Linked DNA regions of Sus scrofa. The protein of the gene in region 2 interacts with the protein of the main gene of each other region in a pairwise test. Links are inferred from orthologs where the notes say so. Each region holds a gene or a part of one and is shown on either strand. Other genes may lie near its edges.

Region 1 (3,641 bases), on a different chromosome or scaffold from region 2:
TGGCAGCAGGATGCAACTTAGATCCTCAGCCCTGCACAGTGGGTTAAAGGATTGGAGGTCCCGTTGTGACACAGTGGAAAGGAATCTGACTAGGAGCCATGAGGTTGCGGGTTCGATCCCTGGCCTCGCTCAGTGGATTCAGGATTCGGCGTTGCCATGAGCTGTAGTGTAGGTCGCAGACACAGCTCGGATCTGGCGTTGCTGTGGCTCCGGCATAGGCCGGCGATAACAGCTCCAATTGGACCCCTGGCCTGGGAATCTCCACATGCCGCTGGTGCAGCCCTAAAATAAAACCGAAAAGACAAAAAAAAAAAAGATCTCATGTTGCTGCAGTTGCAGTGTAGGTCACAGCTGCAGTTCAGACCTTATCCTTGGCCTGGGAACCTCATATGCCACAGAGTGGCCCAAAACAAAAAAGAGAGAGATCATATGGTCCAAATGTCTCACTTTAGAAAAAAGCAAACAAAAACCTGCAGAGTTCAGTTTGTCCAGAGTCAGACACCTTGTCCTTGAGATCCCAGGCTCCCCACCGTCCCACCTCCCACATCCTGTTTCCTCCTCTCTGCCGAGCCTGCCTTTCAACGTGCAACACTGATGGTCCATCCGTCTCGTGGCCTTGGCGTCCCCCTCACACCTCGTGCCTTTGCGCCCTGAGGGAGGTTCCACAGAGGCGGTGCAGGCCCGGCCCCCCTGACTCGCCCCTCCCCGCCCCACAGTCATCCTGACGGACGAGGAGGTGCAGCGCAAGCGGGAGATGATCCTCAAGCGGAAGGAGGAGGAGGCCTTGAAGGACAGTCTGCGGCCTAAGCTGTCGGAGGAGCAGCAGCGCATCATCGCCATCCTGCTGGACGCCCACCACAAGACCTATGACCCCACCTATGCTGACTTCGGCCAGTTCCGGGTACGTCCACCCGCTGGCCGGGAGCATGAGCAGGGCTGGCAAGTGGGCTAGAGGGCAGGGGGATCCCCGCACAAAACCTGGGAAGGGGAGTTCCCGTTGTGGCTCAGTGGTGATGAACCTGATTCGTACCCATGAGGACGTGGGTTCAATCCCTGGCCAGGCTCCGTGGGTTCAGGAGCTGCGGTGTAGGTCGCAGACGCCGCTCAGATCCCACGTTGCTGTGGCTGTGGCATAGGCCAGTGACTACAGCTCCAATTCGACCCCTAGCCTGGGGACCCCTCCCATAGACCCTCCGTGAAACCAATCCTGTCGGAGGTCAGAGCTGAGGCAGGAAGGGGGCCTCCAAATACGAGCTTCTGACACTCTACCTCTCCCTTCCAGCCTCCGGTTCGCGGGGATGAGGAGGAAGGGACCCTCCCCTCCAGGTCTTCCTCCGCGCATGCGCCCAGCTTCTCCGGAAGCTCGTCCTCTTCCTGCTCAGATCAATACACCTCCTCTCCAGGTAAGTGGGGCTACCGCCCCCTCCCCAAGAGCCCGGAGCTTCCCCAGACCCCTGACCTTGGCTGCGGCTGGATGGGCAGCACTCTGTGCTGTGCGGCGTCCTCAGAACAACCTCTTTTTAATGCACACGAGGGTCCACACTGAGGACACTGAGGAAGAGGCCAAGCTGTGGTGGTGGTGGGGGGTCTGCCTGTAGAGTCAATTTGCTTTCCTCTAAGCCAGCCTTCTGCCCCTGGCTCCTTCCCTGGGAGCGACCTGGTTCCTCTAAATGGTATTTTGAGCCTGGGCCTTTGGGGTTTTTCTTTTGTTTGGTGTTTGGTTTTGTTTTCCCCAGTTTTCTTGAGATGTCACTGACATAACATTGTGTAAGTTTAAGGTGTACGATATAATGATTTGATAGAAGTATACATTGCAAAATGATTGCCACAGTAAGTTTAGTTAATCTCACATAGTTACAAAGATTTTTATTTTATTTCCTTTTCGGCCATGCATGAGCCAAGGGCAAGTTCCTGAGCCAGGGATCGAACCCATACTACAGTAGCGACAACGCCAGATCCTTAACCCACTGAGCCACCAGGGAACTCCTACAAAGTTGTTTTTTTTTTCTCCTCTGTGATAACTTAGAGATGTACTCCCTTAGCAACCTTCAAATATAATAAACTGTATTGTTAACTACAGTCATCAGACCCTGTGTCTTTGCAGAGTGAAACTTGGCATGGAAGGAGATGTGGATCCCACCGCAGCCCATCTTCCCCTCAATCCCCGGGGGGGCCAGTAAGGCCCTGGATGACCTATTCCTTCTAGTTCATCTTTGCTTTTTTCTTATGGTCCTTTTCTGCCTTCCTCTTTATCTTCCTGCCTTACCAGCTGCCCTTGCCTTCATCCTTCACCCAACCCAACTGCCCTTTGCTTGGGGCCTGTGGGAGGGCAGGAATGGAAAAGCCCCCTCCCTTCTATGGAACTAGAACCCTCAGACAGGGTACTTCTCGGTTCATTTATGGGTCTGTGCCCGGATCCAGAGTAGGTGGGAAGGGTCCATGCACCAGGTGGACAGAGATGGCAGAGGAGCTGGTTGTCATGTCCACTCACCTGCACTACCACCACACGGGTAACTCATCCTCTGAGCCCCTCACCTTGTAGAAACCTCTCCCCAGTGTTAATTTTCTCAACCCACCTTCCTGCTCCTTTTACTTGCTGGTATATTCATTTTAATCAATGAGGGCCAGTCTGCATGTGATACATTGGTCTGTACTTCAACTTTTAATGGTTTTATTTAGAAGTTTTGACTCCCTCTCATTGGTTAATTTGAGGAGCTCCCCCCTCCGCCATGGTATGTTCAATGTAGCATATGTTTATTTAAAAATTCAAACTAATTAACATTTTTTATTTTTTTAATTATTATATGAAGGTAATACATGTTCATTATAGACATTCAGAAAATAGAAACTAAATTATGTAGATTACATATATTATATAATCTTTCATCACACCACCCCAAAATAATCACTACTGACACTACGATATATCTTTTTCCCAAGTTTTAATACATATGTATATTCAGAAATGGAATCATGCCATACTTAGCCTGCCAACTTGCTTTTTTCTCTTAATAGTGTATTATGTCATATTTTCATGCCATCCACTACACGCCTAGAGTATAATTTTTAAAGACTGCTTAGTATTCTGCAGTATAATGTACAATAACATATCTAAATCTCCTCTCCTTGGATACGTGGATTTTTCTTTTTCCCAGCTTGTTATTAAGTGAACAGCATGCTGGTGGCTAAATATTTGCACTTGCTCTGAACTTTTCCTTGTGCTGAATTCATGGAAGTAGGATTACTGGTCATAGTGTGTACATAGTTGTAGGCTTTGGACCCTCATGGTCCAATAACTTTCCAGATTACTTACACAAATTTATGCCTCCTTTAGTACACCAGCACTGCACAAGGATTGCCTGATTCCCTGCATCTTTACAAATACTGGTATCAACATTGAAAGGAACTTGTGGAGTTCCTGCTGTGGCACAGTGGGTTATGAATCCAACTGCAGCGGCTTGCAGAGGTGTGAACTGGCACAGTGGGTTAAAGGGTCCAGCATGGCTGCACCTGAGGCTCAGATTCAATCCCTAGTCTGGGAACTTCCATATGCTTTGGGTGCGGCCATAAAAAAATAATAAAAATAAATGCACTTGTTTCTAGTTTAAGGATGAAAAGTAGATGCTCTACTTGGCTGTTCG
Region 2 (4,261 bases):
TGACACCATTTGACCCTGCTGGGCCTTAGTTTCCCATCTGTGAAATGGGAAAACTTTCTGAGAAGGAAAGTGGAGGCAGAGGATGGCATTTATTTATTATTTGTTTATTTATTTTTTGTCTTTTGTCTTTTTAAGGCCACACCCGCGGCATGTGGAGGTTCCCAGGCTAGGGGTCTAATCGGAGCTGTTGCCGCTGGCCTAGGCCACAGCCACAGCAAGGCCAGATCTGAGCCTCATCTGCGACCAACACCACAGCTCACAGCAACGCCGGATCCCTAACCCACTGAGTGAGGCCAGGGATCAAACCTGCAACTTCGCGGTTCCTAGTAGGATTCTTTTCCGCCGAGCCACAATGGAACTCCAGATGGTGGTATTTAAAGCTGGGTTCGGGCCCTCCCTTCCCCTGTGCTGTAACGTGCGAAGAACCAAGGATACAGCACCCACCCTCAAGAGGGCAGTCCTGAAGCCAGAGGGGGAATAGGTGGTGCAGGAGGCTCTGTAGCTAAACCAGCCTTTCCTCAATGTCCCCTCCTTTCTCTGCTATACTCTCTGCCCCCTGCGTCCAGAGGTCCTCAGCCTCTTCATTTACATGGAAGTATAAGTGCCACTAAACACCTATTTCAGCCCCATCCTAAGTAGGAGTATCTGGACTGGCTGACATTGGATAGGCTGCCTTAGTTTTTTTTCTCTTCTATCCATTAAAAGGAATACATATCTATTAAAATAAACGTTACTCTTTCCCACACTGTCCTTTCTGCTCCAGTCCCCACTTTGGGAAACTCAGGTCAAGGAAACTCAGGTCAAGGCCAGGGTCCAAGGCCTATTTTTTTTTGTTTGTTTTAGGGCCACACCCGCAGCATATAGAAGTTCCCAGGCTAGGGGTCAAATTGGAGCTACAGCTGCTGGCCTACACCACAGCCGCAGCAACGCAGGATCCAAGCCCTGTCTGTGACCTATACCACAGCTCACGGCAACATCTGATCCTTAACCCACTGAGGGAGGCCAGGGATCAAGGATGCTAGACGGATTTGTTTCTGCTGCACCACAACAGGAAATCCCAAGACCTGGTTCTTGTCAGGTGATTCCCTTCTCTGTGCCTCAGTTTCTTTCTCTATAAAATAGGGATAATCTTGGGTCTGCCCAGCCCAGCTGGTTGGTACGAATAGATCATAAAGTTGACCTGAATAGCTTAGCGTGGCACCTGGCAAGGAGTGAGCACTCCATCAGTGCTGCAGTTATTATTATTACTGATAATTTCGGGAGAGGTAGATTTGGGGTAAACAGGGTAGGTGGATTGGGGGCAGTGAGGGTGGGCATTTTCGCGTGAGGGCTGATGGGTGTCCCAAAGGGTAGGGACTCTCTTGGGGCGGGGTGGGGGGCGGGGCTTCCGTGCCCGGTGCCTCCGCCCCCCATTCCCCGCCCGCCCGGACCCCAGGGTTGGGGGGCGGGGGTGGCCCGCGCCTGGGTCTATCCCAGGTCACCGGCGGGGAATCCGTCCCGGCGCGCTTCCTCCTTCCTCCTCCTCCCGGCGGCCTGCCGGGCCCCTCCTCCCTGCTCGCGCGCTCCCTCCCTCCTCTTCCCCTCCCTGAGCCGCCGCCTCCTCCTCCTCCTCCTCCTCCTCCTCCCTCTCCCTTTCTCTCTCGATCTGTCTCTCCCGGCCGGGAATCCATTCCGGCCTGGGAGCCGGAGCGGCCTGGCCGCCGTGTGCCCGAACCCTTGGCCGTCCGGAGGTCCTTCCTCCCGTGCGTCTGCCTGCCGGTGCGTCCGCCTGTCCGCTGGCCCAGGTGAGCGCCCCCCACCCCGCCGCCGGCTCCCGGTCCCCGCCCGAGTGAGGGAGCCCCTGCCCGGGGACCACCCTGGCGTCGGATCGCCGGGCCGCTGGGGCTCCTGGCCCCCCCTTTTCCCCCCACCCACCCCCGGGCCGAGCTGCGATCCAGGAGCGCTGGGCCGGCGCACGGGGACGTGCCTGGTGCGGCCTTTTGTTGTGATGCCTGGGGGTGGGGGGGAGGGGGCTCTGTGGGGGGGCGTAGGGGTCCTGTCTGCGCTGGAACCCCCTCCGGCCCACCTTACCCCTACGGGCCCCTGAGAGCCGCGAGCTGGGCCTGAGCCCCCAGGCCAGGTCTAGGCCAAATCTGAAATCTGAGCCGGTCGGCGCCGCCTCTGGCCGCGGCTGCCCGGCCTGGCGCCCCTAGCCCGGGATGGGAGGTGATGAGGGGGCGGGCGGGGTGGGCCTGGGGGCGCCCGGGAGGGAGTGCTTGGCCAGGGCACCAGGATTTTCCCGTCTTCGTGGGGCTTTGGGTAGGGCCTGGTGCTGACGGCCTGAAAGGGACTGGGCCCGACTGTGCTTGGTTCCTGCTGCCCACAGCCCCCTAGACTTGCCTCTGGGCAGGCCCAGCCGCCTGTGTGCTCAGAAGTTGGCAAAAGTTTTGGGATTTCACCACCAGGCCGGGTCCATCTGCCTGCCCGGGCTGGCATTGGTGGTGGGTTTGAGTCCCAACAGGGACCACCACTTACTTGCCTTGCTGTGTGTCCTCAGGCAACTACCTGACCTCTCTGAGCTCAGAGTCCTCATCAGGCCCAGCTTGGGCCTGGCTGGGTTTACTACTGGGCTGTTGGAAGGATGGGGTGAACAGAAGGGGCTCACCTATAGGGTATCAGTTCAGGCAGACTTGATAGTGGCAAAGCCCTTGTGTGCCCCTGGGTCAGGCCTCCCAGGCTTTAGGGACTCTGTCTCTGGGTCACTAGAGGTGAGTCCAGGCTTAGCCACAGTACAGTTGAGATCAGACTTGATCTCAAGAATGGATCTGGCTGGTCCTGTGCTGACCCTCTTCTGGCCTCCTGGCTGGGGAGACAAAACAGCTGTAGGCTTCTCATCTCATAGGTGACCTGGGCCAAGGGACCGCGCGCCTCTGAGTCCATGTGTGTGCAGTGGGCATCCTCAGGGGAAGAATCTCTGTGCTTCTGCATGTAGGGGCTCGGCATGTAATAGGTGTTCAATAAATGCACACCTTACTGGATGAATTGCCTAAAAAAAGGTGGCTGGGAGGTGAAGTTGTTGGCCCAAGTGGGGTGCATCCCCAGAAGAAGATGGATTGGGTGCCCCCGAAGCCACTCCTAAACCCTTGAGAAAGAAATAGCCCTGAGCACCATTTTGTCCCCCAGCAGCTGTGTGACCTTAGGCAGTACGTGGCTCCCGCTGGCCTCAGTTTTGTTAAGTATAAAATGGGCCAGTGATCATGATCACTGCTGACATCTTCTGAGCGCCTCCTATGAGGGAGGGACTCTCATGTAGCCTCGTTTTGCTGGTGAGAAACCGAGGCTCAGAGAGGGGAAGGGACTTGACCAGGCCCACACAGCTTGAAGCTGGAGTGAGAGCCTCGACCTCAGAATCCCTGGTCTGGCTGCCCATGCACCCTTCCGATGAGGGGGGAGCAGTGGTTTCCCAGTGTGCGAACAGGCAGAGGACAGGGCTGGAAAAGACTATACCGATGAGTGATTGTATGGAAGCCACGCGGCCCTTTTAGTGATGTGGTGATGTGTGTGCCTTGGTGATGTGGTCTTTCCACCCAGGGAAGTGATTTACAGTGTGTCACCTCTCTCAGCTGACTGCCTGCCCAGGCCCTCCTGTGCGGCCCCTGGGGCTTGGCTCCTGAAGGTGTCCCTGCTGCTGGGAGGGCCCTCTCCTCTATGAGCTGCTTATCTGCTCTTGCTCTTTAAGGCTTAGCTCAAAGCCCACCTCTCCCAGGAAGGCCGCCTGGCTTTCTCCCACCTCCCCTAGCCTTTTCCTGGAGCATGAATGATCCCCAGCTCACAGCCAGTTCCTACATTGACTTCTTCCTTGATTGTGACCTGGGATGGAGGTGTTGTCTGGCTCCCCCAAGCCCCAGGAACCGGGGGGAGATGGCTCCGTGTCCTGCTGACATCCCTTGGTCCTCACTGACCCCATTTCCCCAAATCTGCCTGATACAGGCACCGATGATGTTCTAGGAGCTTTGAACTTGGGCCGAGCAGTGTGGGGATGGGTTAGCAGTGGGAGCTGTAGGAGGCATCTGGAGGCTTCCAGGAGGCGGTGATGAGAGGAAGCAGGAGTTTGCTCAACCGAGAAGGGGAGAGCGTGCTCAGCTACTTCCCAGGGCCCCTGGGTTGTGGGGAGTGGTCAGCCTTGGGGGGGTGGGGAGTGGGGGGGTGTCCTTGCTGGGGAATTGTGGACAGGTCCCTGGCTGCCAGGAAAGTTAAGTCTGGAGGGTGAGCTAAGTAGCAA
Region 3 (4,118 bases), on a different chromosome or scaffold from region 2:
AATCCTAGGCAGGGCCGTGCAGCCGGTGCCGGTGCGATCGTGGGCTACACCCGTGTCCACTCCCAGCCTCGGGTCCCTTGTCTGTAAAGCAGGGGCCGTCGGGCCGATGGGTTTGAGAGCTCTGCCAGTCGGGTCAGGCTGAGAGCCTCCTCACTGGGGTGGACGCCTGAGAGTGTGGCACTTCCCCTTCCAGTGGGAAGTCCTGTGGGGGGCACTTGTGGCCACTTCTCCGACCAGGAAAGGGGAGGGGTGTTCCCTACTGATTCCTCTTCCTCCTCCCCGCCCCCCACCCCAGTAGATGGGGAGATGGTCCTTCCAAATGGAGCCACAGGCTGGGAGGGGAATTGTGGCTCTGCTGGGGGTTGAGGTCTCCGCAGAGAGAATGATTCAGATCCTGCCCCGCTAGAACAAGAACGCGAGCTTTCCTGGCTCCTCAGCCTGGGCCAGGAAAAAGAAGCTGGAGACTGAGTCCCTTGCATGTACGAGTGCTCCTGGGCGCCCCCTACTCGGCTCTTGAAAGATCCACGAGCCGCTGTCCATTGGGGGTAAGGGAACTAGGGATCGCTGAGGGGTACGGTTGGGCCGAAGGTCCTCCGACCCACTCGAGCCGGAGAGGTTATTTGGCGGGAGAGGCGAGGAGGTGTGCCTGAGGGCCGTCTACCTGCTCTGGCACTCCTTTTTTTGCCGGTAAGAAAATTAAGATTCAGAGAAAAGAAAGAGACTTGTTCAAGGTCACACAGCTCTCAGTTCCAAGGGGTTCCTCGAGGAAGATTATAATTATGGGAGTCTAGGGGCTTGACAGCTAGGGGCGGAGTCACTGTATTCACTTCCATATTACGTTGCCGCCTCTCTAACCCCGGCTTAGGTGCCATCAGGGTGTGTGTGTGTGTGTGTGTGTAACCCCGACTTAGGTGCAAGAGGTTGTGTGTGTGTGTGTGTGTGTCTGTGTAACCCCGGCTTAGGTGCAAGAGGTGTGTGTGTGTGAGATACTTGCCCCTGTGAGTGTGGGTGTGTGTGGTCGGAGGGAAGGGAGTGTGATACCACACATTGCCGTCCCTTCTCCACTGAGCCTTCTTTCCGTTCTTCGCGCAGAACTTCTTCGCCTCCTCGCCCTGAGTCTCTCCTTTGGGGGCAGAGGGAGGGATTCTCCCAGATTCCCACGGTCCAGCTTCTGCTAGGCGCGGCTCCTTTAAGACTCACCCTTTCCCTGGGTCTATTAGGGAGAAAGGGGGGCGTGATCTTGTGGGCCCGCCCCTGGATGGTGATTGGTCTGTGGGAGGACGGGGGCGGACCGGAGGTTGAGGGCCTCCCCGCGGCTCGGTACCCTCCGCCCCCCCAGTCTGGGGCTCCGGGTAAAGTTTCAGCCTCCGCACGTGACTCGCCATGGCCGCTGCTTTCGCCCCGCGCCCCTGAGCCGCGGCCCCCCCCAACTGGTCGTCTCCCTGGACCCCGCAACCCCTGACGCGGAGCGGCTCCAAGGCGCAGGGTCAGGGCAGACGCTGTGCCCGCGGGCGACCGGGACGGATTGCGTCCCCCCCCACTGCGAGGTAACCTCTCCCCCCGGGGATTTTGGAGAGCCCCGGGCCCTCGCAGGCATCGTCGCCCCTCGGTCTGCTGCTGATAGGACCCGCGGGGTGGAAGAGACCCAGTGCCGGGCGGGTTCGGACGGCCACCTGGGGTTTCCTGGGCTTCCCAACCCGCCGCCGCCGTGCTCGGGGTGGGGGAGCCCCGTCTGTGAGTCTGTCTGCGCCCGTGTCTTCGCGCGCAGCCGTGAGGCGTCTGGGGCCGTCTGCCGCGCGTGTCTCAGGCGTCCGAGCTGTGGCAGAACCGCCGCTGGGAACTCCTGCTCTCTCTCGCTTTTTCTCTTCACAAACAAACAAAACAAAAAGATTTTCAAACCTGTTTGGGGAGAGATCAGATGCCCAACGGACTAGCCCCCTCCTTCTTTCCCTGCTGTTATCTGAGCCGCCCTGTGGTTTGGGGAGAATCAGCCCGGGGGCCCACCCCATCTGAGGCAGCCAGTTGGGAGGCGGGGCCCATTCAGCTGGTGTCCCCCGTGGAGTGCGGGGAGCCGTCAGAATTGGGTACGGGGAGCCAGTGCAGCCAGGGGAGGGATGTCTCTGGGTTTGTAGGCACCATGGGGTTGTGGAAGCTTGTGGGGGTATGAGAAGGATGGAATAGATTGGTTGTCTTGGTTCTGCCCAGGGTGTCTGGGACCTGGTGCCACCCACGAGGTGGAGAAGCTGCTAGCCAGATGTGTATGTGGGAGGGGGAAGCTGGAAAATCTGCTTGGCAGTGCCCTTTCTCCTCTCCGGGCATGGCCCTGTTGTCGGGTTGCTCTGGGGGAAGGGGGCCGTGCACTAGGCTGGAGATGAGAACCAGCTCATGTGGAAATCATACAAGAAAAGCCCCCAGTCTTGGAGACACTTGTCCACTGTCCAGCCTACCTTGGATAGCATGCCTTTGTGCTGGCGTGGAGGGGTACCCTGGGCCTCCACCAACTGCCAGCTCCCTCTTCTGTAACCAGATTGCCTTCTGCCTGGGAGACGTGTGCACATGTGTGCCTGTGTGCCTGTGTACCGTGTATGTTGTACCGTGTATGTTCTCAGGGGCCTTGTTCCTGAAAACACTCCCCCACCCCACCCCCACCCCCTGCTTCTTACCCCCAACCCTCACTTCTGCTCCTGACCGCCATCCTCCTCCAGTTTCCTGGTTAGGCGATTCAGTGAAGTCTCTTGTCCGCTTCCCTGGCTGCCTGGCTGCCGTGGTCATGGGCCGGGGTGTTTGGGGGGAAGTGGTTCAGGAAGGACACCAAGTCTTGCTAGGAAATGGGCTCAAGCCCCAGATTCTCCTCCACGGCCTTGTGCTTGATGGGGAGGCTGGGCCGGGGAAGCCCCAGGTGGCAGTGGGGGTGGCTTGGAGCATTGGGGCTTCCCCTGGGAGGGGTGGAGATGAGTCTGGGGGAGGGAACCAGAGAAAGAGTATTTGGAGCAGGAGGGAGCAGGAGGGTGGTGGTTGTGGAGTCAGGGAGTTTGTGGCTTTGAAAGATGTTGGTGCACTGGGAGGGGCGGCGAGGACCTGAGTTCTTCCTGAGTGTCTGGGCCATGTTGGTTCTGAAACAGAGCAGTCACCGTCACTGGGGTCAGACTTTCGTAGGCCTTGGGAGCTCGGGATCTTGGATTTGGAGGGACTTTGAGGGCATGAATAAATGCCCATGAGGTGGTCACCTCAGGACATTCCCTGCCAGACTGGCGAGGGTGAGACAGATGCAGTGGCAGTGCTGAGAAGAACCTGGGCTTGGAACGGCTTAATCCTGGCCACCTCCTCTTATAGCCCCTAAATCCCCATCCTTCTTGTTGACCCTAAATGCCCCTGCCTCCATCTGGGAAACCTCTCTGGACCCCCTCCTACTTGCAGCCATGTGGCAGCCTGGCAGGAAGCTAGCTGTGGGCAGCCCCATCCTGATCACCCCCATGCCTCCCCCGCCGGGCACAGTCACCCACATGTGCCATGACGTGGTTCCTGCCACCCTGTCTATTGTGGGGGAAAGGGCCTTGTCTGCATGGCCCTTCCGGTCTGTTTTGAGGGCATTGACCCAGACCCCAGTTAACTAGCTCCCCTTCCCCTAAATCCTTTGGTCTTGGAAGCTGGACCCCTTCCCCCGCAACTTCTTGCTCAGATCTGAGGGTCTTAGGTGGCGTGGTCCTCAGAACTCTGTGACAGGCTGGGGACTGCCCACAGGTAAAACCTCAGCGTCCAGTTCCCTGTCCTCTGCGTGGCCTGAGCAGGGCAGGACCTAGACGGTGCTGCATGGGTGGGTGTGTTTGGGACTCTGCCGGGTCCATTTAGGAGCACTCTCGGTCCATTTAGGAGCACTCTCGGGGACTGGGGAAGGTCGTGCTGTCCCCGTGAAGAGTAAATGGAGCAAGCAGCACTCGCCCAGCACCCCACGCCCTTGCTGGTAGTGGTGGTTTGGGGAGTGTGGGAAGTTGGCAGGGCCCCTGGCAAGACAGCCAGGATTGTCTTGACTTACTGGGTTTTTGGGAAAAGAGCGTGGCCAATGATACCCTGGTTCCCAGGGCTTTGGCTACCCGTCCTCTCGGCCGCCTGCTGTCTTT

The links.
Region 1: the proteins of SRC (region 2) and VDR interact in a two-hybrid assay, tested with the Homo sapiens proteins (2 studies listed by BioGRID). The link is inferred for Sus scrofa from reciprocal best matches to the Homo sapiens genes SRC and VDR.
Region 3: the proteins of SRC (region 2) and RARA interact in a two-hybrid assay, tested with the Homo sapiens proteins (2 studies listed by BioGRID). The link is inferred for Sus scrofa from reciprocal best matches to the Homo sapiens genes SRC and RARA.

Annotation. Positions count from the first base shown.
Region 1 is NC_010447.5:78,217,845-78,221,485, reverse strand, and holds part of VDR (vitamin D3 receptor), read left to right. Parts: intron 1-716; coding exon 717-901; intron 902-1,282; coding exon 1,283-1,403; intron 1,404-3,641.
Region 2 is NC_010459.5:40,469,554-40,473,814, forward strand, and holds the start of SRC (proto-oncogene tyrosine-protein kinase Src), read left to right. Parts: upstream 1-1,435; 5' UTR 1,436-1,784; intron 1,785-4,261. UniProt on the Homo sapiens protein: Non-receptor protein tyrosine kinase which is activated following engagement of many different classes of cellular receptors including immune response receptors, integrins and other adhesion receptors, receptor protein tyrosine kinases, G protein-coupled receptors as well as cytokine receptors.
Region 3 is NC_010454.4:22,082,932-22,087,049, reverse strand, and holds the start of RARA (retinoic acid receptor alpha), read left to right. Parts: upstream 1-1,290; 5' UTR 1,291-1,547; intron 1,548-4,118. UniProt on the Homo sapiens protein: Receptor for retinoic acid. Retinoic acid receptors bind as heterodimers to their target response elements in response to their ligands, all-trans or 9-cis retinoic acid, and regulate gene expression in various biological processes.